Oryctolagus cuniculus: one gene and its partners. The protein of the gene in region 5 binds, or shares a complex with, the protein of the main gene of each other region. Links are inferred from orthologs where the notes say so. Each region holds a gene or a part of one and is shown on either strand. Other genes may lie near its edges.

Region 1 (5,532 bases), on a different chromosome or scaffold from region 5:
CCACTGCACTCCCTGGCCACAGCAGAGAGCTGGCCTGGAAGAGGGGCAACCGGGACAGAATCCGGCGCCCCAACCGGGACTAGAACCCGGTGTGCCGGCGCCGCAAGGCGGAGGATTAGCCTAGTGAGCCGCGGCGCCGGCCTACTGCTCCACTTCTGATCCAGTTTCCTGCTAATGTGCCTGGGAAAGCAGCAGACGATGGCCCAAGTACTTCAGCCCCTGTACTCACATGGGTGACCCGGATGAAGCTCCTGGATTCAGCCTGACCCAGCCTCAGCTGTTGTGGCCACTTAGAGAGTGAACCAGCGAAGGGTAGGTTAGGAGCCATCCTTCCAACCCCAGAAAGAAGAAAAGGCAAGCCCCTCGAAGCCCAGAATGGCCACTGACCTCTCAGGGTCTGATATGCTCTTGTCCAGCCTGTGCCAGGAGCCCACTCCCAACAAGGTTGCCAACCAGGTAGCTAAGAATCTGCTGTGACCTCACCAGGGTAGGTGAGGTCACAGCACTGGAGAGGCCAGGAGAGCTGAGGCACCTCTGCCAAGAACCATTTGGTAGCGGGAGGTCACAGGGAAGGTGCAGGTGGACGCCCATTCTTGCAGAACACAGGACACCCTGTACGTGGCCCCTGCTCCTTCCTGCCTCCTATGATTCTTCCCATCCAAAAAAAAAAAAAAAGCCAAGACACAAGACAGGAGCTGAATTTCATTCTTGAACAACAACAACAACAAATCAAAAACCACAGTCCCGCCCTCCCCCCATGGTCTCTATGATGCTGACCCCATTCTGACCCCAGCTTCCACCAATGTCCATTATGATGCAGCTACTTGGGTCAGGGGCTCCTCCAGGTACTGCACCAAGGCCTGGGCCTGCAAGAGGGGGGGAAGAAGTCAGTGTCGCAGATGCCTGCCACTTGACGGATCCCAGTTCTACTCCCAAGGCCGCCCCTCAACCACTCCCACCTCCCTCCTGCCCACATCAGACACTAATTGAGCTGACGGAAGGACTTGAGAGCGGTGCGGTGCTGTGGGTGGGAGTGGACACAGTGACGGAGCACAACAGCGGGCCCACAGCTGCGGCAGGATGGACATGTACACACCTTGGCCTTGAGCATGCCGAAGCCCACGGTCTCCTTGGCATACATACACAGCAGAAGGTTGGCCACGCGGGTGATGGCTACACGGCCCTCCTGGTAGGGGATATGATGGGATGGGATGTTCTGTTTGACACTCACAGGACCCGCCTTCCCCGAGGGTTCCTGACTTAAAATGTATGTCTCGTCTGGGTTGCAGTCACATTTGAAAGTTACTGCTTTAAATAGCACCAGCTCCAGCTAGGCACCCATAGGAGTCACCTGCTGAGCCAAAATGGCAGTGGTGAGGTCAGGGGGGGCAGGCAGCCAAGTTACAGTGGAGACCCTTCCTGGTGCACGCACCCTTGCAATCTGTTCATTTTGGTTCTGCAAACCTTTACTAGGTGTCCGCTGTGTGCTGGGAACCAGGCACCACAGCCCCTGTCTTTCTGGTCCTATCTCCTGCTACCCTCCCGCGACTCAGGCCAAGCTTGCTGATCCTAGTCCAGGCCCCACTCTGTCACAGGACCTTGGTACTTGCTGCTCTGTCAGAGGGCCACATGACTGGACCCCCACCACCCTCTGTCCTTTGATCAAACATCGCCTTTTCAGTGACACTGGCCCTAACACACGCCCTCCATACCCTCTTACTTCCCTGCTTTGTTTTTCTCCATTGCATTTCATACGGTCCAGACCAGATAGTCTGCTTATTTTAAAACACATGTAAGGTTGTAAGCTCCACCAGGAATGGGGTTTTTGTCTGTCCTGTCTGTATGCCCCCTCTAGTCCTAAAAGTCCTGCAGGACCTAAATGGTCGTCACCTAAGAGATTCAGAGAGGAGCGAAGCAGTCCCTGTTCCCAAGAAAGTCACAGTGTAATGGCCACTTCTCCTGTCCGGGTCTGGAGACTCCGCCATGGCCCTGCAAGTCGGTGGCGCTGGGTGGACACGCTCTGCGTCTGAACAGCTCTCTACGGTGTAGACCCATTCTTTCATTTGATTGTCAACAGTCCCGAGGTGGGGGAGGATGGCTCATCACCTCCTGCTTGGAGATGAGGGAAGTGACTTACCCAAGGTTTCACCACTGCTAAGTGCATGGCAGAGACCAGAACCCAAGTCAGACCTGAGGTCCGGGGCTCCTTCCTCACCACCGCTGGGTGCTCCCGGGCCTGCCTATCGCAAACGCTGCTGCAGGACCAACTCTTAGCAATCTCTCGGAGATTCTGTCCCTGCCCCAACAATCATCCAGGATGGGGGCCAGTTCGCCCCCTGGGAATCCCCTTGGTGGATGGAGGAAGTCTGGCTCCCCTCTCTCCGTACCATGCAGTCCATGAGGATGAATTTAAGGTTGTCTTCGTTAAACGCCTGGTTCCCGTTTCGGTCATAAGCTGCCCAGATGTTACTCGCGATGGCCGCGGTGACCCGGGCGTCCGTGTCTCCATAACCCGAGTAGGCCAGCAGCGATCCCTCGTTATTCAGCAGCCTGGCGAGAGACAAGGATGGGATGTCGACATGCTCAAACGCCTGGGTCCCCGCCCCGACGCCCGTATCACTGGCGCTCCTACGAGGCAAGGGGCTGAGCTGAGCGTGTCCCGGAAGGCGTCCCGAGCCCCCAGCACGCTGGCTTCCCTTTCCAGAGGCGCGCTCTCGGTCAGCTGCGGGTCCCCTCGGCCGCCTCCCTTCCCCGCCCCACTCCGCTGCCGCCGCACGGGTCCACGGCCCGCACTCACAGGGTGCTCTGGACGCCTCCGGTGTTGGCTTGGCTTAGCACCTGGGTCAACGCCTTGGGACGCAGCATGCCAGCGGCTCGTCACCCAGCCTTTAAATCCCAGATCCTCCGAGCGGCGTCCCGCTTAGCCGCGGCCTGCGGCTTCCGGCAGTGCAGCGACCCGCTCGGGAACGCCCTGGGAGTTGTAGTTTTCCGACCCCGTGACAGCTGCTCTGGCCCCACCCCGCTCAGCCGCGGAGGGACTGGGAATCGTAGTTCCTGTGGTCTCGCAAGGCACACTGGGAACTGTAGTTCGCCTCCTCAGCTAGACCACGCGGTCGTGGGGGAAAAGAGCGGGAGTGGAAGGGCAATGTGGCAGGGTTGGGAGGACGTTTAACCCCTTGGCGGAGAGAGGTCATCATGGCCGCTTGGCTACTCACGAAGCGATAATAGTAGTAATAAATCCTCGTATTTGTCGGGCACAGCCTGGGTTACTTCTCAGAGCGGTTTTCTACGTTAGGCACTATTCTGTGGGATGAGGCAAGAGATTCTGTTTTCTTGAAACCGAGGCTGGAACGGTGACGCCGGCAACACCCAGTTCTCGCACCGTACAGAACAGGCCATTCAGGCCGTGGGCATCGGGAGCAACAGGGTCACTCCCTGAGTGGAGGCTTTAAGTGGACGTCCCGCGGGGAGAAAATTCAGACTCCCGGTGGAGCGAGGCCCCAGGCCTGGAAAGGAACTTGCACCGCCCAGGGAAGACCAAGTTATCACAGAAAAAGCGGCCACGCAGAAAGTCCTTTGTCCGGGAGCAGGAGTAACCGCGGAGGGGAGGGGGCGGCCCGGGGTCGCAGGGCACGGCGGCGAGGCTCGGGCCGGGCGGGGGTCTCTCGCAGGCCCCCGCCGTGAAGGACACGCCCTCCGCGCCCAGAGGCCCTCGCCACCCAGGCCGCGTCCCGGCGGCCGGACCCCAGGCCGGGCCCTGGGCGGACCCCGCTGCAGTGGCCCCCCCAGTCCGCCCGGGGCGCTGTGGCTGCGGCGGGTCCGGAGGGGGCGGCGGAGCCGCGGCGAGGGGAGGGGAGAGGGGAGTGTTGGAGGCGCCGAGCCGAGCCGGGCCGGCCGGCGGGCGGGGAGGAGGAGGAGGAGGAGGAGCCGGGCGGGCTGGCGGGCGGCCGGGTGGCGGCGGCGGCATGGCGGAGCCGAGCGGGGCCGAGACGAGGCCCCCCATTCGGGTCACCGTCAAGACCCCCAAGGACAAGGAGGAAATTGTGATCTGCGATCGAGCCTCGGTCAAGGAGGTAGTAGGGCTAGCGGCGGGCGGGGGGGGAGCGGAGAGGGAGTGCGGAGGAGGGGGCTACGAAGAAACGGGGCGGGGGGCCTCCGTGACTGCCTGGCGTCCGGGACGGCCCCGGGGAGGAGGGCGGGGGCCGGCGGGGACTCGCGTGGGCAGGAGAGGCGGATATGGGGCGCCCTGCGCGGGCGGGTCTGGGGGAGTGTGGCGCGTGCTGGGGGGAGCGGGCTTTGCACTGGAGCCGGGGCTGGGGGCGTGGTGGAAGAGTGGGTAAGGGGACACCTTGCGCCGGCCCCCGGGAAGCACCCTGGGGCTGAGGGGAGTGTGCGCCCCTGGAACTGGCCGGGGTTCGAGGCGCCGAGGCGCAGTGGCGGCCCCGGCTAGGTGCTGGACCCGTAGAGCGGGTAGGGGGCAGGCGGAGAGCGCCCGCGTCTCCTGTGTGGCCCGGAGAACGCCCAGAGTCCGCCGAACGCAGGGCGCGGGGTGGGGTGGAGGATGTTCTCTGCCCTAGATCCTTCCTGCTCTTTAAGCCCGAGGTGGTCACACTTGGTTTTCAGCTCTTCTGAGATTTGCACAGTGTGCAGTAGGTGCTCCATAAGGTTTTGTTGAATGAGGGACTCTTGCCTGCGTTCGCCACCCCCCTGTAGTTGCTCCAGAATTTCACATAGGCGGGGCTTCAGGATGGGCCATCTGGTTGGAAGAGAGGGATTTGGAAGCTCCCTTTGCTTATTAGCAAGTGCGCCTTTTCTACTCGGAGTGTGCGTTGGGTTGGGTTGGGCTTTGCAGGGACTGAGAATTGAACTCTCCCAGCAGTATAAAATGACTGAATTCCAGAAGAGGGGTCCCTGCAAAGCTGACTTTGAAAACAGCTGGAATTGAGAGGCAAGAGTGTCTGGTCAAGACCTGAGTTCCAATCTGCCCAGGATGTTACCTAAGCTCCCTGCTCTTCCGTTTTCTGATCTTGAACACGGAGTTAATAATGAAAATACCGGACCATTAACTCGTGCCTGGTTCGTGCTCAGTGGCTGGACCTTGTTGTTGCTGTTGTTGAGAGAGCTGGAAGTCAGGAGAGGCGGGACGCTGGAGCGGGGAGAGGAGAAGGCTGAAGAAGCGCCAGGCCGTAGAAGGAGTTGATGGGGCAGTTGCTCAGTCTGGGGTACAGATAGCTGTGAGGGCTTCCTCGGGTGGGAGACTGGGATGGCGCTGAGAGAGGAGCCTCTGACTGGCTTATCTTCCTGGTTAAGAAAGAAGCTCCCTGGGAGGCAGCAGGCGGCAGCTCAAGTCCTTACCTCTCACATGGGAGACCTGGGTTGAGCTTCTGGCTCCTGGCTTCAGCCTAGCCCAGCCCCTGCTATTGCAAGCACTTGGGGGGTGAACCTGTGGCTGGGAGCTCTGTTTGCTCTGTTTGTCTCTCTCTCTCAAATAAGTAAACAAAACTTAAAGCAGGTAAGACACCTGTTGGGATG
Region 2 (5,034 bases), on a different chromosome or scaffold from region 5:
AGGATGGCCCAGGTGCTTGGGCCCTGCACCCCATGGGAGACCAGGAGAAGCACCTGGCTCCTGGCTCCTGCCATCGGATCAGCGCGGTGCGCCGGCCACAGAGCGCCCGCCACGGCGGCCATTGGAGGGTGAACCAACGGCAAAAGGAAGACCTTTCTCTCTGTCTCTCTCTCTCACTGTCCACTCTGCCTGTTAAAAAAAATAAAAAATAATATCATACTTAATAACAAAAAACTTCAGTATTTTCACCTAAGATCAGGAATAAGAAAACAACATCTACTGTCACTACATCCATGCAACACTATACTAATGCAGTTTGGGTCAGGGGGAAAACATAAATAAAAGCATCTAGGTGAGAAAGGAAGGTGTAAAACTGCTCACTGATGACATGAGCCTATGTGTAATAAACTGAAGGGATCTCTACAAAAAAGGAATAGAACTAATAAAGAGTTTAGCAAGGTCACAAGACATAAGAACAATATATAAAATTTAACTGTACTTCTATTATGTAAGTAAAAATAACTTCAAAGGGAAATTAAGAATCCCATTATCATTTAAACAGTCACATTTTTTTAAAGAATTATTTTATTTATTCTAATACAGAGTTACAGAGAGAGAGAGGCAGCAGACAGAGAAGTCTTCCATTCTGCTGGTTCACTCCCCAAATGACCGTAAAGGCCAGAGCTATATCGAATAGATGAGCTGAGCTCATCTGAGGCCAGGAGCCAAGAGCTTCTCCTGGGTTTCCCATGTGGGCTCAGAGGCCCAAGGAGTTGGGCCATCTTCTACTGCTTTCCCAGGCCACAGCAGAGAGCTGAATCAGAATAGGAGCAGCCGGGACTCGAACCAGCGCCCATATGGGATGCTGTTGCTGCAGGCTGGGGCTTTAATCCGCTGTGCCACAGTGCCTGCACCACAACTTTGTAATGTTATAAATAATCTACCAATGAACATCTATGAGTACATAAAGAACTTGCTATATTTCAGATCTTCCATTTGGGCACATTCCTGGAACTCTTACTTGCCTTCGCAGTGTAGGTACTGTTGGGCACCAAAAAGTAGGTTGTGCCCAGATCGTTAGATCCCCGCAGAGACCCCCAGAGAGTCGATCACACCTAACTGCAAAAGCAAGGTTTATTGGGGAGTACAAGCCGTGACAGGGACCCCATCCAACCAACCGGCACAGCAGAGGAAGGAGTGAGGCCCCGGTCTTTGTTAGGGAGAGTTTTTAAAGGAAAAAAGGGCTATATCAGCAGGAAAAGAGTTACATACAGCACGGAAGCTCTGGGCACAGGGAGTTACAGCAGGGCTTACAGCACGGAAGCTCTGGGCACAGGGAGTTACTTTGTTCAGCAATCTCTACTGTGCTGTCCTTGGTCTACCGAGCTAGCTGTCCCTGGTAAGCTTTGATATCTCTGGAATGCCTGAATGCCTGCTTTTACGAGGACCCCGGTCTGCAATGGGAAATGGAGGCTGCTTTTTTTTATTGTTTAAAAATGGAGTCACTTTGGTTCTTCAGTACAAACATGCAAGTGCTATACTTGAAGTGACACACTCAAAGAATGACTGTGTAACAGTGAAGTGTGACCAAGAACACATGGCAGCTCTGGGTTCTACTGGTTATCAGTTTATTCTAAATCAATTCAAGAACAGAGATGGCTATTACCTGCACAGCATGAGACAAGTCTGACATTAGACACTGCCGGAGCCTCTCATCACTCCCAATTCCTTGAAGAACAAAGTCAGGCACATAAGATGAGCAGTAGCCAGCCAGCAGGGACCTCCCAAAGTTGGCAATGTTGGGCTGAACAGAACTCACTTCAATTAATTTTGACCTGGAAGAAAGATTCCCAAATAAGGCATATCCAATTAACAATAAACACATTTCCCAGTAAAAATGTGCATACACCACCAGTTCATATTTCTAGCACATTATTTTCTACAAAATACACTCTGAACATCACCCTTAAATAAAAACTTGTCTAAGTGCTCAGACTACAAAATACTCCTTATCAAAAGACCTGTGGCCGGCGCCGCAGCTCACTAGGCTAATCCTCCGCCTAGCGGCGCCGGCACACCGGGTTCTAGTCCCAGTCAGGGCGCCGGATTCTGTCCCGGTTGCCCCTCTTCCAGGCCAGCTCTCTGCAGTGGCCAGGGAGTGCAGTGGAGGATGGCCCAGGTGCTTGGGCCCTGCACCCTATGGGAGACCAGGAAAAGCACCTGGCTCCTGGCTCCTGCCATCGGATCAGTGCAGTGCGCCGGCCGCAGCACGCCGGCCGCGGCGGCCATTGGAGGGTGAACCAACGGCAAAAAGAAGACCTTTCTCTCTGTCTCTCTCTCTCTCACTGTCCACTCTGCCTGTCAAAAAAAAAAAAAAAAAAAAAAAAAAAAAAGGCCTGATACATAACTTTGTAATGATATGAGCATAAATCTTACTATTCATAATAGATTTCAGGAGACTTGTTCCTTGTATTTGTAACACTTCTTAATATAATCATATTGAGAAAATGAACATCCAAAATAAACTAGCTAAATATCTTAAATTCCAAAGCTGGTGTCTAACATTTCTCAATCCCTGATGCTCTCCTTCTACGTGATCTAGAGTATACACTGCCTGTTTTCCTCTTAGTTCTTGCCCAGATCCTTTTCTACCTTCTCAGTGAGAACTTCACCATAACTTCCAGACTCACTCTGCACATTCTGGGGGGTCATACTTCATTTTAAAATGGCTTGAAAACTCTTAAGCAGTATGTAATTACAACTACTTATCAACCAGGTCCTTTAACTTTCTGATGCTTTCACAAAGCTTTCCTAGGGAGCTTGTGAAGCTTAGCATTTATGAAGTAAAACTACAAGATGCTAAAAGACAATTTGTCTAGGACAATGATCTCTTCTACATTAGCTACTACTACCCTTCAGAGACCAGCTAGACAGAAGAATGTTACAGACTTTTTAAATAAGACCTACTATAAGAGGAAAACATCCTACTTACCCAGGAAATGGTATCTCATCCTCTTCTGCCCAGTCTTCTTGCTCTCCTGCATAGTAACTACTGACTGGTCTAGTCATATCATGACCTGCATCTTCGCTTTCACTATCACCAAGGGCACTGTCTGAACTTTCATTTCTTGGAATGTCCCATTCAGTTCCTACAGCAATTTTTTTCTCTGAACTCTCTTTATCCCCATGGGGGACAAGAATGGAGAGTGTATTTCTTTGGTCCTGCTGAGGAAAGCAGGTTTTACATGAATCCTGGTGAACTGCCTCTACACATTTACAAAATTCATTGCTTTGTTTGCTGGTTTTTGTACACAACATTTTTGAAAACTCCAACACACAGCAGTGTTCTTTACTGTCTGCATTTGTTTTATCTAGAACATCATCAATAGTCCTGGTTTCAATTGAATCATCATTAAAATATTCATCAAATAAGCTCATGTTTTCAGAGTCTGAATGACTCCAACAGGGGAGTTCACAGGGCTCTCCAGAAATCAAGTTCTGTCTATTAGACTCTCCAGATTGGTCCTTAGTTGTTTGTTTAGTTTCTTTATGTTGATCAATTGCCCCTCTTTCTTCCTTCAGTGGTTTGGTGTGATGCCTGGTAATTTGATCCACCACTGCCTGACTCCGGAGTTCAGTGTCCGAATCAGGTGACATAGAATCCCCAATCAGAAAAGTAACCTTTGTCTGGGCTGCCTCACAAGAAAATACAGCAGGTACAATCTTATCTGGAGGTTTTTTTTCCACGACCACTCCTGTAGATCTCAATGCTTTATCTGTGTGATGATCTGAATTCAGCAGTTCCTCACTGTGCCATGTTTCCTCTGTTGGCTCTAAGCCTGCTTCTGACAATGCACATTTGTCTACTGGAGCAGATCCTGTGCAAACAACTGTTTCTAACTTGGTGTCAAGGCAAGTTCTTAATTTATCTCTGCACTGTTTAACATCAACAACATTTTCTTCTTGGCAGTCAGGAGGACAAACCATTCGGCATTCATCTGAAATTCCCAGTAGCTCTGTAGAGCTGTTCTGGATATCTTCTCCGTCCTGTCGTGAAGCACTCTCTGCGTTTTGCCCAACAAGTGGACGAGTGCAATACTTACAGCCACAGTTAGGAGTTCTTGTTTCTTCTGACTCTTTAAAGAGCAAACTACTTTTGTTTCTATGCATTGTGATAAGCACATACTCTGATTCTTCTATTTCACCTTTTTCTAGGGTGGTAGTGATTACTGTGCCTGGCATAACAATGGCTTCATCTTCTCCATTTTCTAAAAGATGGGTTTCTTGAAGTTCAGAGCATCTTATAAAGTATGTAAGAAAATAAAGCAGCCTCTGGACCATGTCTTGCCGTTTGCCAACTACCACAGTCCTCGCTAACCGCACAGGAGAGCCAATAGCGCCATACAAGTCTCCTGCAATGGAAAAATTAGTTAATAGGCACATCGTCTCTCTCCTCACATAGTCAAAAATGCTATTTTTTAATTATGAGAAACATACTCTTAATGTATAAGAGGCAGTAGAGGTTTTTAGTTCTTTACTCTATACAGCACAGTAGGAGCAGATGAATGGTCTTAACTAGAGAGAATGATGAAGAGAAAGCTTTTCTAGCTTCCCCCTTAAATAGCTGTTGTGGTTCTAAAACCAAGAGTGAGTTCTTTTTTTTTTTTTTTTTTTTTTTTTTGACAGGCAGAGTGGACAGTGAGAGAGACAGAGAGAAAGGTCTTCCTTTTTTGCCGCTGGTTCACCCTCCAATGGCCGCCGCGGCCGGCACGCTGTGGCCCGCGCACCGCGCTGATCCGATGGCAGGAGCCAGGTACTTATCCTGGTCTCCCATGGGGTGCAGGGCCCAAGCACTTGGGCCATCCTCCACTGCCTTCCCGGGCCACAGCAGAGAGCTGGCCTGGAAGAGGGGCAACCGGGACAGAATCCGGCGCCCCAACCGGGACTAGAACCCAGTGTGCCGGCACCACAAGGCGGAGGATTCGCCTAGTGAGCCGCGGCGCCGGCCAAGAGTGAGTTCTGAAAGCCACATTT
Region 3 (5,662 bases), on a different chromosome or scaffold from region 5:
ACACGCACACACCAAAAACCCAAGGCTGCACCTCGCAGCCCGGTAAAACGTTACACACCGAGTAACCACAAGGGGGCGGTCCTGCAACGCATGACCAGCAGGAAGCAGGCTGGCTCCCCAGCCAGCCGTCACAACTTGGTTTCCAGTAGTTAGTAAGTACTTCACTTACATGTCTGATTGCAATCTTGTGAGGTCAGCTTTTAAATCCTTTTTCCTAAAAATGTCTATGGTCCATATTGTGTTGTCCTTTACCAGAAATAACTCTTCTAGGGCAGGAATCCAAAACCCTTGAAAAGCAACGCACAAAGTGGGATTTGAAGGAAGCTGGAAGCTCCCCTCTGACCTCTGGGAATGAAGAGGGACTTTGCCCTCCAGGCTGAAAGCGCCCTGAGCTGGCCATAGTCAGCAGGGAGCCCGGGTAACAGCTGCAGGTGAGAGGGCTCAAGCACGCTTCCGGTAAGGCGAGGCTTAGCAGAACTGGCAGGACACACAGGTGCGCTCCTGTTTTCACCAAAGTGCTACCATCTGAGTGCACGCTGGCACTACCTCTGTGCCAGCAATTCACGTCCATCAAGTCTTAAAAACAACCATATCCTTTGGCCCGGTAATTCCACTTCTAGTAGCTTACCAGGAAAATTTTAAACTGCACAGAGATTTAGCCAAGAGGATATTCACCCAGCAAGCTAGTATCCAAACTGTACATTAACATGGAGTTGGTCAAGTCAGTTAAAGCACATACGGCTGAGACATGGAATATTTTGCAATTAATAAAAACTAAGTATTTATTTTTAAATATTTTATTTATTTGAAAGAGCTGCAGAGAGAGGTAGAGACAGGGAGAGAGGTCTTCCATCCGCTGGTTCACTCCCCAGATGACTGCAATGGCGGAGCTGTGCCGATCCAAAGTCAGCAGCTTCCTCCGGGTCTCTCTCGCCAGTGCAGGGGCCCAAGGACTTGGGCCATCTTCTACTGCTTTCCCAGGCCATAGCAGAGAGCTGGATCGGAAGTGGAGCAGCTGGGGCTCAAACCGGCGCCCATATAGGATGCTGGTGCTTCAGGCCAAGCCTTTAACCCACTGTGCCACAGCACCGGCCTCAAAACTAAGTATTTATTAACACGAACAGACATTTATGCTAAAACCTGTGCAAAGGCTCAGCAAAGGAATCATGTCCAATATTTTTTTTTTTTGCTTAGAAAAGAACAAAAGCCATTTAGAGCATACCTCTGCAAATACATCCACCTGAAAGGGACTGCAGTCACTTCTGGCAGTGGAAGTGTGGGAAGTGTGGCTGGTTTCCTTCCTTTATTTTTAATCTTGGCTTTGACAGCTTGTAAAGCTGTTTTCAGGGAGTGTCACCCCAGTCCTCCTTATGCGTTAGGTATCACACGGCACCTTCTGGCCCCAAACCTTCCTGAGCCCTGATCACAGGAAAAGCAGTGTCTTAGTTAAAATTCCAACACGTTTTGCCAGCGCCCCGCTCCGGGTTTTACCCGCGGGCCACCTCGTCCTTTGTCCCGGGTGTACGCCCTTCAAGGAGCCCGTGGCTCCTCTGGCCACTTGCTCCATCCCGCCGGGCCCGCAGGGTTACTGTCAAACACCATCCTGTCCTTGGGTCTCGGAGTCGTTTGCACTGAGACCAACGGACAAGAACCATTGGGCCAGACTGCAGGCCAGGAACTGAGGCGCTGGGGCCTGGCTGCAGACTCTCACCCCGCGCAGCCCGAACCCTCAGGGAGACGGGAGCACGGCTCGGCGCCGTCTTCCGGGAGAGAACTCGGACGTGGCGCCGCGGCGAATTTTGTCCCATCGGCGGCGCCGTCGCGGGCAGCGGAAGGCTCGCGTCACGTGACGGAGGCCCGCAGTGAAGCGGAACGCGACGGCTCCGGGGGCCCGGGCGGGGGTGCGCTGCCGGCCGGCGGGATGGAGGCGACCTTGGAGCAGCACCTGGAGGACACGTGAGCAGTGCGGGCCTCTCCGGCCAGTTCTGAGGTCGCAGCGCGGGTTACGTGCGGGACAGCGGGCGAGACCCGCGAGCGCCGGAGGGCGGCTCGGGGACGCCGTGCCACCCCAGAAGGCTGGCCGAGGGGACGGGGCCGGTGGCCCGAAGTTAATATCCCGCTGGGGCCCGCAGCCTTCCTCTCGGGGCGCCGTCCGCAGGATTAGGTCGTTCAGGAGGGTGTCGCAGGTGTGCCGTCGGCCGCACCGGGTACACACACACACAGATCGTGTGTGCGATCTGTCATTTGGTGTTTAAGGAAATACCTGTTCCTTAAATGTGTTAACGTCTGTGTAAACTCAAAGCTGCAAAAGTCTAAGGTGTACGTGCAGACACCACCCTCCCAGCCACTCCCTCGTCATCCCACTTCCCTTCCGGGAGGCAACGCCTCTTAGTTTGTCCAGTTGTCTTACCTGAGCTGTTACGTAAAGCGTGCGGTTAGAACGGCGAAAAACCCCGCATCCGAACTGTTGCGTGCGCCTAGGCTTCCCAAACCCAGCAGATACTCATTCTTCTCTGCAGCTGGCTTCAATTACTACTTTAATTTTGCTCGGGGTTGGGGAGTGTGGTAGGAAAGAGGTCGAGAAACCCATTTAAAGCACTTAGGCAATGCCTGATAGCATGGCAGGCCCACGGGCGTCATAACCGTTTGCATCCACTTTCTCAAGCCCTCTGCCTCACCTCTCCTGTGTTTCTGGAATTAGGATGAAGAACCCGTCCATTGTTGGAGTCCTGTGCACAGACTCACAAGGCCTCAATCTGGGCTGTAAGTATCTCCTGCCAACCCTTTGCTGGACTGCGCCACACCTGGTGTTGACCAAATAGTATTTGAGTCATTTCAAACTGGGCCTAGACAGGACTCGCCCATGAGAGCTGTGAGCATGTGCTGAGCCATATGCGAGGCTCCACCTGCCTTGCTGCACTTTCCACAGTATCCCTGCATGATGGGTGGGTGCAGTGTTCTAGTCCAAGTACACCAACAGTGAAAATAGGAGATTCTGAGTTTGGCACAGCTGAGTTCAAACACTCCCCCCACCCCCACCCCGTTCTTTCATTTGCTAGTTGTGTGAACTTGGGCCTAAATGAACCTTTCAGGAACTTTTTTTTTTTTTTAATATTTATTTATTTATTTGAAAGAATTAGAGAGAGGGAGAGACAGAGAGATCTTGCATCCTCTGAGTCATTCCCCAGATGGCTATAATGTCCAGGGCTGGGCCAGGCCAAAGCCAGAATCATCCAGGTCTCCCACAAGAGTGGCAGGGACCCAAACACTTGGGCGATCTACTGCTTTCCCCAGACCTTTAGCAGGGAGCTGCATCAGAAATGGAGCAGAAGGACACAAACCGCTGCCAATATGGGATGCCGGCATCAGAGATGTGTCATGGCACCGGCCTCCATGGCATAGCTTCACTGGGCTCTTGTTTACTGAGACTAGTGCTTACAGAATTGCGTGCTCTTCCTTGAGTTCCAGGTACCATTCTAATGGTAACTCACGCACTCCTCCTAACAACCAACGTGAGGCACAGAGGTAAAGTAGCTTGCCTAGGGTCATAGGGCGGTAATTGGCTGAGCTAGAAATGGTGTCAGGGTCCAAAGCCTCTTCAATCACAATGCCGTGAGATTATATAATATGCTTAAGACAGTGCACACCCAGATGGAACATGCTCAGAGAATGACAGCAATCACAGATGAGGAAATGATAGATAAGGAAAATGATAGATAACTAGAGCATTTAGTTAATGTCAGAACTAGTAAACCCAGGACACGTCTTAGTGCAAGAATTTTTAAAGCTCTGAATTTTTGCTGCAAGGGTAACAAAGCGGTAATCTATAACTCAGTTGCTTGGAGAAAAAAGGCAAATGTTTTGACGCTTTTGCCAGACTCACTAATGGAAATACTGAAATGAAGTGTGAAACTCTATTAGAGTTGCTTCAAGAAAGCTTCAAGGTGCAAAAGATGGCGCCGTGCTGGTGAGTTGCTGTCAGGAAATCCCTCTGCCCACCAGCCACAGGCACGGTTCTGCTTGGCCTGCCTTCATACACACATACAGGACACAGTAAACTCAGCAGTTACATTTTGTGCTTGGGACCCAAGGTTCCGTTATCATATACAAGCTAAAGCAGTCAGGAGTAGAAGACAATCGTGTGGGCATTTGAAAACAGCCAAGTAGCTATGCTAGCAGAAATAACTGCTCACAGAATGTTCACACGTGCCATCGAGGAGATCTGAGACTGCGTGACTCCTCAGGAGAGGAAATCCGCTTTCCCATGAGGAATGAATTAGCTTCAGCAAGCCTCTTGCGCGTATTGACTGCTTTTTGTCAATCTCACCTCTAAGCTTTTTGTTTTCGCAAGGTTCCTATCCAGTGAATTTATGGTTTTCAGAGTGACCTGAATTACAGCGTCCTGGTATGTTGAAGCTGTTTACAGATGGTGATAGGTGTGTCAGTTATAGCTTACTGATTTATTGATTTTTGTTGCCCGGCTTTCTCACTGATGTAACCACTGAGCGTCAGGGAACAGTCACTTCATGTAAGCACCAAACTTAAAGGACCAGGACCTGAACCTCCTCTTTGTGAATCATTCAGTGAGATACTGTTGCTCCAAACTTACTTGTGGCTCACCAGGTGCCCTGATACCATCGTTCTCTCTCTCTCTCAGGCCGTGGGACGCTGTCAGATGAGCATGCTGGAGTGATCTCTGTTCTGGCGCAGCAAGCAGCAAAGCTAACCTCTGACCCCACCGACATTCCTGTGGTGTGCCTAGAATCAGATAATGGGTGAGTAGAGGCCTCAGATCCTTTCCTTTCTGTTCAGAAAAACCCCTGGACAACTTGACTGAGGCCTGCTCTGTGTTCCTCAGTGACTCCATACTCAAAGTATGTCGGAGCAGGTTCTTGACCCTTTGGGCCATGGGAGCAGACAAGAATCTTGGAAGCCAATGTGCTGGCAGACCACAGTGACACTTAAATGAAGAGTAAACTGTTATTAGTCTCCCAGGAAAACAGAAGTAATTAAGTACCACAAAAGAAAACTAATCAAAGCATCAAGCCTTTTTTCTTTTTTTTTTTTTTTTTTAAGATTTATTTATTTGAAAGAGCTACACAAAGAGGGAAAGAAAGAATCCTCCATGTGCTGGTTCACTCTTCAGGTGGCCACAATGGCCAGGGCTGGGGCAGGCCAGAGCCAGGAGCCTCATCCAGGTCTCCCACATGGGTGGCAGAGGCCGAGATTCCATCTGCTGGTTCACTCCCCAGATGGCCAGAATGGTTGGAGCTGGGCTGATCTGAAGCCAGGAGCCAGAGCTTCTTCCAGGTCTCCCACGTGGGTGCAGGGGCCCAAGCAGTTGGGCCATCTTCCACTGCTTTCTCAGGTGCATTAGCAGGGAGCTGGATCAGAAGTGGAGCAGCTGGAACTCCAACCAGCGACCATATGGGATTCCAGTGCCCCAGGTGGCGGCTTTACCCGCTTTGCCACAGTGCCAGCCCCCATCAAAACTATTTCTAAAGTAATAGAAATACTAAACGTATTCCAAGTGAGGGTCTTTAGAATACGATGATGTGAAGAGATAATACAAAACTATGCACAATATTGTTTTGTCCAAAAGAGAATATATGCAAATAGGAAAATTAAAAATAGTTGTCTATGAATAATAGGATTAAGAATT
Region 4 (5,700 bases), on a different chromosome or scaffold from region 5:
ATCCCAGCTACTCTGTTTCTGATCCAGCTCCCTAACATACCTGTGAAGCTGCAGATAAAGATGAAGCACTTGTTGAGGACTGGGTGGAGTTCTGAGCCCCTGGCTTTGGCCTGGCCCAGCCCTGGCTCTTGCAGCCATTTGGGGAATGAACCACTGGATAGGAAATCAGTCTCTCTCACTCTGCCTTTCAAACAAGTAAATGAATATTTAAAAAATAAGGTTGTTTCCTGAGACCTGGCCTGTCAGAAGAGGACATGCTACTTCCTTCAGAATTTATAAATATCATCATCCTATTCCCACAGGGCGAGAACAGCATGGGGCAGGTTTGTCACTGGGTCAAAATAAGCCAAGGGTAGGATTTCACTGTCTACCCTGGCAAAGACATGCATGTGGCCTGCCCATGGCTGGCTACCTGGCCTGTAAGCATTGCTGGAAAAGACAGCTTGGCCAAGAGATAAAATAAAGCCCACTGGTTTGGCATCAAAACATCTTGGCCACAGCACTTCTCAGCGTGGCTAAATCACCCAACCTCTCTGAACTCCTTCCTAACCCTTAAACAGACATAACCCAGATCTTTTTTTTTTCCTTTTATTTTTATTTTTATTTATTTATTTTTTATTTTTTGACAGGCAGAGTGGACAGTGAGAGAGAGAGACAGAGAGAAAGGTCTTCCTTTGCCGTTGGTTCACCCTCCAATGGCCGCCGCGGCCGGCGCGCTGCGGCCGGCGCACCGCGCTGATCCGATGGCAGGAGCCAGGAGCCAGGTGCTTTTCCTGGTCTCCCATGGGGTGCAGGGCCCAAGCACCTGGGCCATCCTCCACTGCACTCCCTGGCCACAGCAGAGGGCTGGCCTGGAAGAGGGGCAACCGGGACAGAATCCGGCGCCCCGACCGGGACTAGAACCCGGTGTGCCGGCGCCGCTAGGCGGAGGATTAGCCTAGTGAGCCGCGGCGCCGGCCCATAACCCAGATCTTATGACATACATTTGGCAAGAGCCAAATGAGGTAACTGTCCAGCCCTTTGAGAATTGTAATATCCTGTATATTTCTTCATAAAATAATAAGGAGCAGAGATGGAACTGGGAGAGAGTTGCTGGAAGAGGACTTTGAGGCAGCAATGATCATGGCCTTTGTCACATGAGGCCTCAAATCACCCAACACGGATCATACACGTTCCCTGACAGCTCCATACAGAAATGAGGGGCCAGCGTGGTGCAGCAGGTTAAGCTACTGTCATCTCATAAGGGCCCTGGTTCAAGCCCCAGCTGCTCCACTTCTGATCCAGCTCCCTGTGGTCGCTTGGGAAAGCTATGGAAGATGGCCCAAGTCCTTAGCCCCTGCCACCCATTTGGAGATGCAGATGGAGTTCCAGGCTCTTGGCTTCAGCTGATCCAGACTTGGTCTTTGTGGGCATTTGGGGAGTGAACCAACTGATGCCAGCACACAACCTCTCCTTCTCCAATAAATAAGTATTTAAAAAAAATAGGCCAGCGCCGCGGCTCAACAGGCTAATCCTCCGCCTTGCGGCGCTGGCACACCGGGTTCTAGTCCCGGTCGGGGCGCCGCATTCTGTCCCGGTTGCCCCTCTTCCAGGCCAACTCTCTGCTGTGGCCAGGGAAGGCAGTGGAGGATGGCCCAAGTGCTTGGGCCCTACCCCCCATGGGAGACCAGGATAAGTACCTGGCTCCTGCCATCGGATCAGTGCGGTGCGCCGGCCGCAGTGGCCATTGGAGGCTGAACCAATGGCAAAGGAAGACCTTTCTCTCTGTCTCTCTCTCACTGTCCACTCTGTCAAAAATAAATAAATAAAAATAAAGCAGCCTTATTGTATTTCACAAATAATGAATGTGATATAAATTCCTATTACTTAGAAAAAAGAAACCCACAGAAATGAGACTCCATCAAGGGAAAAGATAAAAGACTAAGAAAGCAGCAGGGGCCGGTGCTGTGGCACAGCAGGTAAAGCCGCCGCCTGAAGTGCCAGCCTCCCATATAGGTGCTGGTTCTAATCCTGGCTGCTCCACTTCCTGTCCAGCTCTCTGCTGTGGCCCTGGGAGAAAGCAGAAGACTGCCCAAGTCTTTGGGCCCTTGTACCTGCAACTGGCTAATGGCTTCAGATTGGTCCAGCTCTGGCCACTGTGGCCATTTGGGGAGGGAACGAGAGGATGGAGACCTCTTTCTGCTTCTCTATAACTCTGCCTTTCAAATAAATAAAGAAATCTTAAAAAAAAAAAAAAAAAAAGGAAAGAAAGAAAAAGGCAGAAAACCTAGGTCTCCCTTCTAGGTAAACTTGTGCCGTTTCTCACAGGGCAGTAACCCTCAGTGACTCACTCTCTGCAACAGTCTAGGTTATGTATGGGTCTTGCATTGTGCAGGGACACTGTAACAGGTTGAGGTGAAGTGAGAGGTGTTGGGCATGAGGCATGCTTAACACACAGCCTAGTAACGGGAGCATACACACGAGTTGCTTGGAGAACTGAAGCCCACTAGCCAAGCCACCCATGCCTCCCAGACACACAGCAGCCTTCCCTGAGCTTAAGCCCTAAATCCAAAACACCCACACTGGGAGGAGGGTGGACCAAAAGGCAAAAAACTATTTCCCAAGTTCTGGTGCTAGCCCATCTCTTCACTAAACGCTGAGCTACCTGATGCAAGCTTTCCACTGTCTCTGCTGCTATGAGCCAGCGCTGAAATGCAGAACCCAGACACAGAGGCAGTCAAAACGGGGAGCGGCTGGCTAGCAGCTTGGGACTTCATCCTGGGAAAGATCCGCGCCTGCTCAAAGTGGCCGGGCAGGGCTTAACTGGGGAGAGAAGTGCGGATGAACCCAAGGGAAGATGGAGAAGTTTACGCTGTACAGGTCAGTTCTCCCCAGCCTAATCCTTTCTCCAAAGGGATCAGAACGAGTCAAAAGGCCAGGGGAGGCACTCCTCTAGCTGGGGGAACCCTCAGTCCCCAGGCAGGGACTGCACCGAGGCAGGCCAAGCTCAAAACAATGGAGCTCTCCCATCCATTTCTTTTCAGAAAAAGGTACACCTGAGCCCTTGCTGCCCAATTTCCTGCAAGACCCGACGTCCTCAACTTCCAGCGGCCTTCTCGGACCCCAGACCAGGCGTGACCTCCCTTCTCTAAACCCGGGGACTAAGAGCATACACAAATTCCCGACTCATCTCGGGACAGCTTAAGTCGGAGCCTCAGCCTACCCACCGCTACAGTGGATTCACACTCCGCTAACACTAGCACAGAGAAGGCACAGGAAGCTCGGGAGAGAGTGCTTCCCAGGGACCTGGGTTGAAGACGCGTGAAAGTGTAAAGATCTGAAGTAGAGGGACACGGAATGGGTGGGAGAGAGCTGGACAGACAGCTGCATGCACACCCCCCAGGCGGGAACTGTGTAGGAGACCTAGGGCTTTAAGAAGGGTAGGAGTCCGGCTCGGCGTCCCCTCCGTAATCTGTCCCCTCCAGGCCTCCGTACTCAGTGAGCCCTGCAGTCCGGTTCCCACTCCTCGGCAGATTTCTTTCTGGGCCCCGTGCCCCAGGACCTCAGCCCTCTTTCCCGAGCCCCGCCTGCCGCGGCCGCACCTGGTCCGAGTCTTCGTTTTCGCTGCTGTAGCAGCACCCCATGGCCGGGGTCGGGCCGGGCGCTCAGGCCGAGCCGAGGAGGGTCGGCGTCCGTCAGGAGCCCTTCCGGTCACATGACCCGTAGCTGCCTCCCGCAGGCAACCACCGGCAGCCCTCCCCACGCCTACCCCGTCTCACTGCCGCTGCCGAAGCCTGGCTTCCGGCCCCGCCCCTGCCCGCGTGACCATCGTCAGCCAATGGGAAGGGGCATCCTGCGCGATGGGGCGCGAGGCACGTGATGCGAAGAAAGGGAGGGGCGTATCACATGACTTAATTATTTGCCGAGTCTTTAAGCTCGAAACCTCTGACTTTGGTTGTCATGGTCCTTATGAGAATTGTGCCTTGTGGTTACATGGCCGCTAAGCCACCTTTCTGGGCCAGTGAATGAGTTCCTACAGCAAATGTCATGATATACTTACTTTTCTAAATGCCATGAGAGGAGCGAGTGGGATCCAGGGCGAATGCAGTCTGGGAACACGTACATAGGTCCCTTACCGGCTCTCAACTGGGGTGTGGTGCCTGACAGTTATCAAATTGTGCTGGAGATCTGCAACTTAAAGAAGGGACTTTATATCTTAACTAGGTGAAGCCAAGTAGAGGTTAGCCTTGTAGAGAGAAAGAGGCCACCTAATCTTACCTTCTGATCTTTTTGCAGCTGCCATCATAACTTAACAGAGACCAGCTCCCCCCTCCCCCAGTTCTTTTCTTAAAACTTTCCCCCTGGACCAATGCAGCCAAGGGGCCGGAATCCCATATGGGCACTGGTTAGAGTCTTGGCTGCTCCACTTCTGATCCACCTCCCTGCTAATGTGCCTGGAAAAGCAGTGAGAATGGCCCAAGTCCTTGGGCCCCTGCACCCAAGTAGGAGACCTGGAAAAAAGCTCCTGGCTTCAGCCTGGGAAATCCCAGGCCTTTGTGGACATTTGGGGAGTGAACCAGTGAGTGGAAGCTGTCTCTCCATCTCGCCTCTCTCTCTTACTCTGCCTTTCAAATAAATCATTAACTAGAAAAAAAAATAGAAAGCTCTCTGCTATAGCCTGCGAAATTAGTAGAAGATGGCCCTAGTCCTTGGGCCCCCTGCACCCACGTTGCAGACCCAGAAGCTCCTGGCTCCTGGCTTTGGATAGGCTCAGCTCTGGCTGTTGCAGCCATTTGGGTAGTGAACTGGGGGATGGAACATCGGTCTAACTCTGCCTTTCAAATGAAATGAAAAAATCTTTAATAATAATAACAAAAAAAAAAAAAACCCTTCCCCTGTGTTCTCCACCCCTAACCCAGGTCCAAGTGTGCCATTCAGTATCATGAATAGCCTGATACCTGCTCCTTTCCGTTCCTCGCCCCTGAGTGGGAGGGGAGGAATGAGGGAGGGAGGCGTTTCTCTAACCTCAGTGCTTGGTTTCCTGATTGACCACCTGGACTTCACACATGCAGCCCAGCACACAGTCCTCCCTCCAGGTCTGCCTACTCCTAAGTCTCAACACAAACAATATCCCCTTGATTGCTTTCTCTGACCCATTGCTACTCATCTCCAGTTCTCTGTGCTTAACCCTTATCCAGTGTTGATTATCAAATCAACAAAAATTTACTGAGTGCTATGTGCCACACACGGTCCTGAATATGCAGCAGTTCACCTAATAGCCCAAAGTCCCTGGTTTCATGCAGCATCCAACCTAATGATCAAACTATGTTCTCTGTTCCTGGGTTGGTGTCTTCTACTAAACCTGGCAGTTTCTGGAAGATGGCAAGAGGTTCTGACTCTTCTCTGTGACCAAAGCCAACGCTTGCTTACAGAAAACTGGCTTTTGAGTAAATCAATCTCCCACCACCTTGGTTCATCCCGTGCCCCACATCCCGATCCATGGAGATGCAAGAGAGGATACTAGACCTAGCAGCTTGTATTACCTCTCAAATCAAGACCTTGAAGTTAAATTTTTGGAAGAATCCTGAAGGGCAGGAGAAGCTTCAGCTTGTCCCCGAGACTGGTAACTGAAGCTGCAGGTTTCGGGTGACAGCAGCAGCCTCAGCATCAATAATTGAAAGCAGGCCCAGCTTTCTGCCTCCGGGCTCTCCCTCCCTGAGG
Region 5 (5,783 bases):
TGCGGGGGCCGTGCAGCTCGCAGAAGTGACACAGGGCGACAATGGCGTTCATGGTGCCCTGGGGAGCAGGGGACACCGTGAGCAGAAGGCACCCCACGGAACCTCCCCGGCGCCTCTAGGACTTCCCGCTTCACCACTGGGGCAGCACCCGCTTTGCACCCAGCGCCACGTCAGGGGCAGCACAGACAACGGAAGCCAGATCCCATCGGGCCCAGAGGCAGCCACGAGAGGGGGCGTGGGGGTGAATGGCCGCACCAAAGGCCCTCCGGGCAGAACTGAGACAGGGCCCCGGGGCAGACAGCACAGGAGAAGGACAGCTACCCTTGCAGGGACCCGCAAACTCCAGGGCGACTGAGAGGTCCATAAAGTGGACTTCAAGTGGACCCCTGCCCAGCACGCACCTGCTGAGCGCCTCCCAGTCTGGACGAGGAAGCAGCCCTCCCCGGGGAGGGGCACGGGAACCTGCCCAGTCCAGTGCTCCGAGGGGCCAGTGGGGCTGGCAGAGGCCCCCAGAGGAGGGGTCTTGAAGCCCCAGGATGCAGACCCCTGGGGCCTCGGAGAGTGAGGCTCCAACATGACACAGGAGACCTGGACGACAGCGGAAGAGGCCGTGCAGGCTGGCTCACAGCATGGCAAGCCCGGTGACAGGAGCCCGTCACAAAAGGACAAGCAATGCCCAATTGACACGAGACTGTACGGGGGACTTTACCTCTGGAAGGGAAGGATAAAGTTTCCTTTGGTGCAAAAAGAACTTTGAAATTCACACATCCAAGTTGGGGGTGGGGGTGGGGCTCGGGCTCCGAGTGGTGGGATCCACAGGGACGGAAGGGGCAATGGTGCCAGGGGGTTGGGCAGTTCATGTTTAAGCCCGGCATGTGGACAGCACTGGAGCCAGCCTGTGCTGGCGGTTCCATCACTCAGCAACACACAGCTGCGTGCTGACAATAGTCCACTTTATGTGCATTTTAGCACAATTTGGACAGAAAAAAAAAAAAAAAAACAGTGGGCAGGGATCCCCTGCAAAGTAACAGGGAGGTCACTGGTGCCCTAGCAGAGGTCAAGGTCAGAGAAACAGAGCCCACACCCGTGCCTGCCCACCAATGGCAACCCACCTGGCCGTCCGCGGACCCGGACGCAGCAGGGGCTGGCAATGGCAGAGGCAAAACGGAAGAGAAGCGGGCGGGAGTGAGCGTGGAGAGCGGAGGCTCCGGCCCCTGGCCCGAGGTGTTCCCAGAGGCAGGTGACGCAAGTGCAGACGGCCCGAGGCTCAGCCGGGACGCCTGGAGCAGGCCGTGGCCACACCGACTGCAGATGAGAGGGCAGGGCTGGGGAGAAGGTCCCAGGCACCCGCGGCCCTGCCCCTGCCCTGTACCCGGTCCGAGGCCTCCCCAGCCAGCCCACCCGGGACAGCTGCCCTGCCCCCGCCCTGCCTCATTTCTGTCTCCTAACAGGTTGTGTGTACTTCCCCTTTACAAAGACCAGATTTCCTGGGGCCGGCGCTGTGGCACAGAGGTTAAGCGTCTGCCGGCAGTGCCAGCATCCCGTATCGGTGCCACTTCGAGTCCAGGCTGCTCCACTTCCAATGCAGCTCCCTGCTAACGCTCCTGGGAATGGTCCAAGTGCTTGGGCTCCTGCACCCACGTGGGAGACCCAGAAGAAGCTCCTGGCCCCTGGCTTCAGCCTGGCCCAGCCCCAGCTGTTGCAGCCATTTGGGGAGCGAACCATTGGATGGAAGATTGATTGATCTCTCTCTCTCTCCCCCCCATATCTCTGCCTTTCAAATCTTAAAAAATAAAAATAAAATTTCCAGCAGGTAGAGACGTTGTCCCCTGGTGTCTACAGCGGTTCCCGACACACAGGGCACCCAAAGAGCACGTGACGGATAAATAAACAGGTTTAGGGGCTGCCCACGGGGAGGTGACAGCCGTCAGCACAGGAAGTAGATGGAGGTGCCCACCGCAGGGACAGTCCAGTGGCACAGGAGCCGATGGACTGAGTTTAAAGAAAGAACCCAGGGGCTCCATGACAGTGAGGTCAAGAACATTCGTCAAGGGCTTTGAGACCCACAGCGGACGAGGAGACATGGGAGGTGACCATGGACCAGACCGGGACCAGAACCAGAACTGGAACCAGGAGGTCAAGGCAGGGCTAATAGGATGGAAAACAAAAGCAGACACAGATGCCCTGCCCCAGAGCCTGGAAAGGGGGCCACGCCTTCCTTGGAGGAAAAAAAAAAAAAGGCTCCTTCCAGCCACACACCCAGACCAAGGCAGCCCTCTGCCCCACCCCACGCACACCTGCTCCAGCCTGCCTAGGCCGGAGCGGGCACCAGAGACGTTGTCACCCAACGTATTCCAGGCCCAGGAAAAAAAAAAAATCCAGACCCAATTCAAAGAGCACCGGTTTGAGTCCCGGCTGCTCCACTTCCGATCCAGCTCTCTGCTCTGGCCTGGGAAAGCAGTGGAAGATGAACCAAGCGCTTGGGCCCCTGCACCCACGTGGAAGACCCAGAAAAGCTCCTGGCTTCGGATCAGCCCAGCTCCAGCCATTTCAGCCATTTGGGGAGTGAACCAGCGGATGACCAGCGGAGACCTCTCTCTGTCTCTCTCTCCTTCTCTGTGTAACTCCGACTTTCAAATAAAGCTCTCTTCCACTGCCTTCCTCTAGCTCCACTCCAGCCTCCCCTGCCCAGTGAGCTCTACACCCTACAAGCAGGTGTCCCGACTCCTCAGCCTGGCCGGGACCGCCACACCACACTCTCCCCCCCTGCCACCGCCCCCCCCCCCCAGCTCCCTAGGATCCCAGAGGCCCACAGGGGGTTGAAGGAGCCCCCGCAGATCCAGCAGGGGCCAGGTGACCCGCAGTGAGCATGCAGCAGCCCCTAACCGGTCTCCCTCGGGGCTTCCTTCCGGCTGGAACCCGCGGGCACCACTGCTGCTGCCCTCACCTAGGTTGTCGCGGACAGCAGACACAAGGTCACGTGCCAGGGTTACTCAAGGACGCGATGACAACAGTGATAAGCCAGTGCCACCGGCTGCCGCCTTTCTCTGCAGTGACAAAGGTCCCCCCCACCAGCCTGGCTGGACACCGGGGTGGCGCCGGGTGTCCACGGCACGCTGCTTCTCACCCCCTGCTGACCTCGCTGGACCAAGCATTCTCGGCCACGTCCACCAACCCTAGGAAGAACTGCGGTCTTCCAGGGCAAACCCGGGCCGGCGCTGGAGCAGCGGGCACCGGGAGAGAGGCAGGGCAACGTCAAATCGGAACCAAACAACGGCCCCGGCTCCTCCTCCTCCCGCGAGGAGCTAGGATGTGGCCTCACGCTCCCTCCACATCGCCAGCTCTCCGCAACGCCCCAAGCCACTCGCCCACCGCTGCCCGCCCCACACTCGGCCGGGCCCTCGCCGTCCCCGCCGGACAGGTCAAGGTGAGGCCGGAGCCGGCCCTAAGGGACAGGTGGTCGCGGCCGCATTGCACGGCGGGCCCGACCCCGAGGGGGAGACGCCCAGACCCGGGCGGCCACACTCACCCGCGGTCCCCTCAGTCCAGGCTGCCCCGGCGCCAAGCCAGAGGCGCGTGACTGGGTCGGACCGTACCATCCGCCCATGCCCGCCGCGGGGGCGCCCGGATTGCCCGAGCGCACCCCGCACCGCGAGGCGAGCGAGGCCCCACCAGGTCCTTGGGTCTGGGAACGAAGGCCCGCGCCCCCGTAACTCCGAAGTCTAGTGGCAGCGGGAATTTCCCAACCCGACACCTTCCTCTTCCACGCCGCTGCGCCGCTCCCCCTCTCAGAGAAGTACAGAATGGTTTAAACCGTACCCGCAAGCGCTGCTGGACAAAACCATTTCAAACGTGTGGGGGTGCTTAAAATGTAAAAACCAACCAAACAAAAAGATTTGAGGGGGAAATAGAGCCAATCCTAGACTTTCTGCCCACAAAAGACAGAAAAATAAAGACGAGAACGTAAAAACCTGCTGTAACTCCTTTTAGTTTCACCGCCGGTTTTCACTAAATAGCTGATAAACCCCATCCTCGCGAAGAGGGTGGAAGGTGCGGCGGCCGTCAGGCAACAGGGGCGGTGCTCGGCTTGGGCGGCTGGGCGCCGGTGCGCATGCGCGGGACTCGGTTCCCTGCGCGGAACCGTTGGAGCCACACTTGGAAATTGTTTGTTTTGACCGAATATCAGTTATTCCATAATGTAGTCTGTAAAACTCGTGGCGCCTCCGGTGCTCCTCCGGGCTTGAGGGGGTGACGGAGCCCGGGCGGAGGTCCCGGGGTCGGGGGCGGCCGCCACCCACGTTCCCCTGATCCCGGTCAGCCCCGCCGCTGCGCTTAGCGAGCCGAATCGAGGGTAGAGCGGGGCCCGCCGAAGCGCAGCCGTGCCAGGAATTCCGCTTTTCCTCGGCTGTCAGCCACGCAGGAGCTCGCTGGATGCTTGGAGAGTGCAGGAGACCCTGGAGGGGCGGGCGTTTGGAGCCGTGGTTAGGGCGCTGCCCGGGTTCCGCTCGGGGAGGGTCCCTGCTCAACGTGGGAGACCCACGCAGGGTGCGCGGCTCCTGGCCCAGCCCCAGCTGCTGCGACCATCCAGATGGCGAACCTGCGGATGGAAGCTCTCCCTGTCTCTCTCTGCTGTTCCAAGGAATAAAGGTGACAGTTCAGGGTTAAAAATTCCATTCTTTAGGGTCTAGCGGGTAAAGCCACCGCCTGCAGTGCGGCTGTCCCATAGGGGTACCGGCTGCTCCACTTCTGATCTGGCTCCCTAATATGCCCGGGAAGGCGGCAGCAGGTGGCCCAGGTGCCCGGGCCCCTGCGCCCAGGTGGGAGCCCTGGAGGAAGCTCCTGGCTCGTGCCTGACCCAGCCCCAACTGTTGCCGCTAAGCTATTTGGGTCGTGAACCAGCGGAGGGAAGATTCCGTCTGTCCTCGTTCTAACGCTGCCTTTGATACTTGAATAAATCTCAAATCTTTTTAATTACTCTACATTCACTAATTGCACAGTCTTGTTTCCATCAGGTTTTTGGTCTCTCAAACTCTGGGAATGTTTTTTCCTGGTTTTTCTCTTACCAAAAGGTGTTACTGAAACGAACACTCATTGGTGACGTTTTAAGCTTAAAGACAATTTTTTCCCCATCTTGGAACTTTAATTCCAGGAATTCCCTTTCTCAGTCCCGGTCCAGATTCCACTATTTCCATGCCATCGGCTGATGAGGCTCCAATGAGGGGAAGCCATTCAGTCACAGTAGCCTGATTTGGGCCATTAGTATCTTTCCCAACTCCCCAGGCTTTAGCTGCCATCTTCCCCCCAACACACACACGATCTAGTTCATGTATTTGAAAGGCAAAGGTAGAGTGAGAGAATCTACAGGTTCACTCCCCAGAGAGCCGTGGCTGGGCCTGGCTGAAGTCAGGAGCCTGGAACTCCATCCAGGTCTCCCCCATGGGTGGCAGGGATCCAGGCATTTGGGGCCAAGTTCTGCCGCTTTTCTTCCCCGGGCACGTTAGCAGGGAGCTGGTTCGGAAGCGGAGCAGCTGTGTCAGGAGCCAGATGCCGGTATCCCAATGGCTGCCTACCCTTTAGAGATGCTTACTCAAATTACATGAATCTGTAAGAACTTAACAGCTGGGGCCGGTGCTGCGCCATAGCAGGTAAAGCCATCACCTGCAGTGCTGGCATCCCATATGGGCACCAGTTCAAGTCCTGGTCGCTCCACTTCTGATCCAGCTCTCTGCTGTGGCCTGGGAAAGCAGAAGATGGCCCAAGTGCTTGGGCCCCTGTACCCGGGT

What was found.
Region 1: FLCN (region 5) and LAMTOR2 share a complex: the UniProt entries of both Homo sapiens proteins name them as parts of the lysosomal folliculin complex. The link is inferred for Oryctolagus cuniculus from reciprocal best matches to the Homo sapiens genes FLCN and LAMTOR2.
Region 2: FLCN (region 5) and FNIP1 share a complex: the UniProt entries of both Homo sapiens proteins name them as parts of the lysosomal folliculin complex. The link is inferred for Oryctolagus cuniculus from reciprocal best matches to the Homo sapiens genes FLCN and FNIP1.
Region 3: FLCN (region 5) and LAMTOR5 share a complex: the UniProt entries of both Homo sapiens proteins name them as parts of the lysosomal folliculin complex. The link is inferred for Oryctolagus cuniculus from reciprocal best matches to the Homo sapiens genes FLCN and LAMTOR5.
Region 4: FLCN (region 5) and LAMTOR1 share a complex: the UniProt entries of both Homo sapiens proteins name them as parts of the lysosomal folliculin complex. The link is inferred for Oryctolagus cuniculus from reciprocal best matches to the Homo sapiens genes FLCN and LAMTOR1.

The regions. Positions count from the first base shown.
Region 1 is NC_091438.1:42,633,983-42,639,514, forward strand, and holds LAMTOR2 (ragulator complex protein LAMTOR2), read right to left. Parts: upstream 3,724-5,532; 5' UTR 2,866-3,723; coding exon 2,798-2,865; intron 2,551-2,797; coding exon 2,388-2,550; intron 1,187-2,387; coding exon 1,097-1,186; intron 867-1,096; coding exon 810-866; 3' UTR 692-809; downstream 1-691. Other genes in the region: UBQLN4 (ubiquilin-4), read left to right, coding at 3,966-4,073. UniProt on the Homo sapiens protein: As part of the Ragulator complex it is involved in amino acid sensing and activation of mTORC1, a signaling complex promoting cell growth in response to growth factors, energy levels, and amino acids.
Region 2 is NC_091437.1:20,301,332-20,306,365, forward strand, and holds part of FNIP1 (folliculin-interacting protein 1), read right to left. Parts: intron 4,413-5,034; coding exon 2,993-4,412; intron 1,836-2,992; coding exon 1,667-1,835; intron 1-1,666. UniProt on the Homo sapiens protein: Binding partner of the GTPase-activating protein FLCN: involved in the cellular response to amino acid availability by regulating the non-canonical mTORC1 signaling cascade controlling the MiT/TFE factors TFEB and TFE3.
Region 3 is NC_091438.1:59,943,959-59,949,620, forward strand, and holds the start of LAMTOR5 (ragulator complex protein LAMTOR5), read left to right. Parts: upstream 1-1,824; 5' UTR 1,825-1,921; coding exon 1,922-1,956; exon of another isoform or gene 1,957-2,701; coding exon 2,702-2,763; exon of another isoform or gene 2,764-4,657; coding exon 4,658-4,775; exon of another isoform or gene 4,776-5,662. UniProt on the Homo sapiens protein: As part of the Ragulator complex it is involved in amino acid sensing and activation of mTORC1, a signaling complex promoting cell growth in response to growth factors, energy levels, and amino acids.
Region 4 is NC_091432.1:63,583,751-63,589,450, forward strand, and holds the start of LAMTOR1 (ragulator complex protein LAMTOR1), read right to left. Parts: upstream 3,833-5,700; 5' UTR 3,624-3,832; coding exon 3,582-3,623; intron 1-3,581. UniProt on the Homo sapiens protein: Key component of the Ragulator complex, a multiprotein complex involved in amino acid sensing and activation of mTORC1, a signaling complex promoting cell growth in response to growth factors, energy levels, and amino acids.
Region 5 is NC_091448.1:66,243,211-66,248,993, forward strand, and holds the start of FLCN (folliculin), read right to left. Parts: upstream 3,666-5,783; 5' UTR 3,530-3,665; exon of another isoform or gene 2,948-3,529; intron 1,306-2,947; 5' UTR 1,113-1,305; intron 59-1,112; 5' UTR 53-58; coding exon 1-52. UniProt on the Homo sapiens protein: Multi-functional protein, involved in both the cellular response to amino acid availability and in the regulation of glycolysis.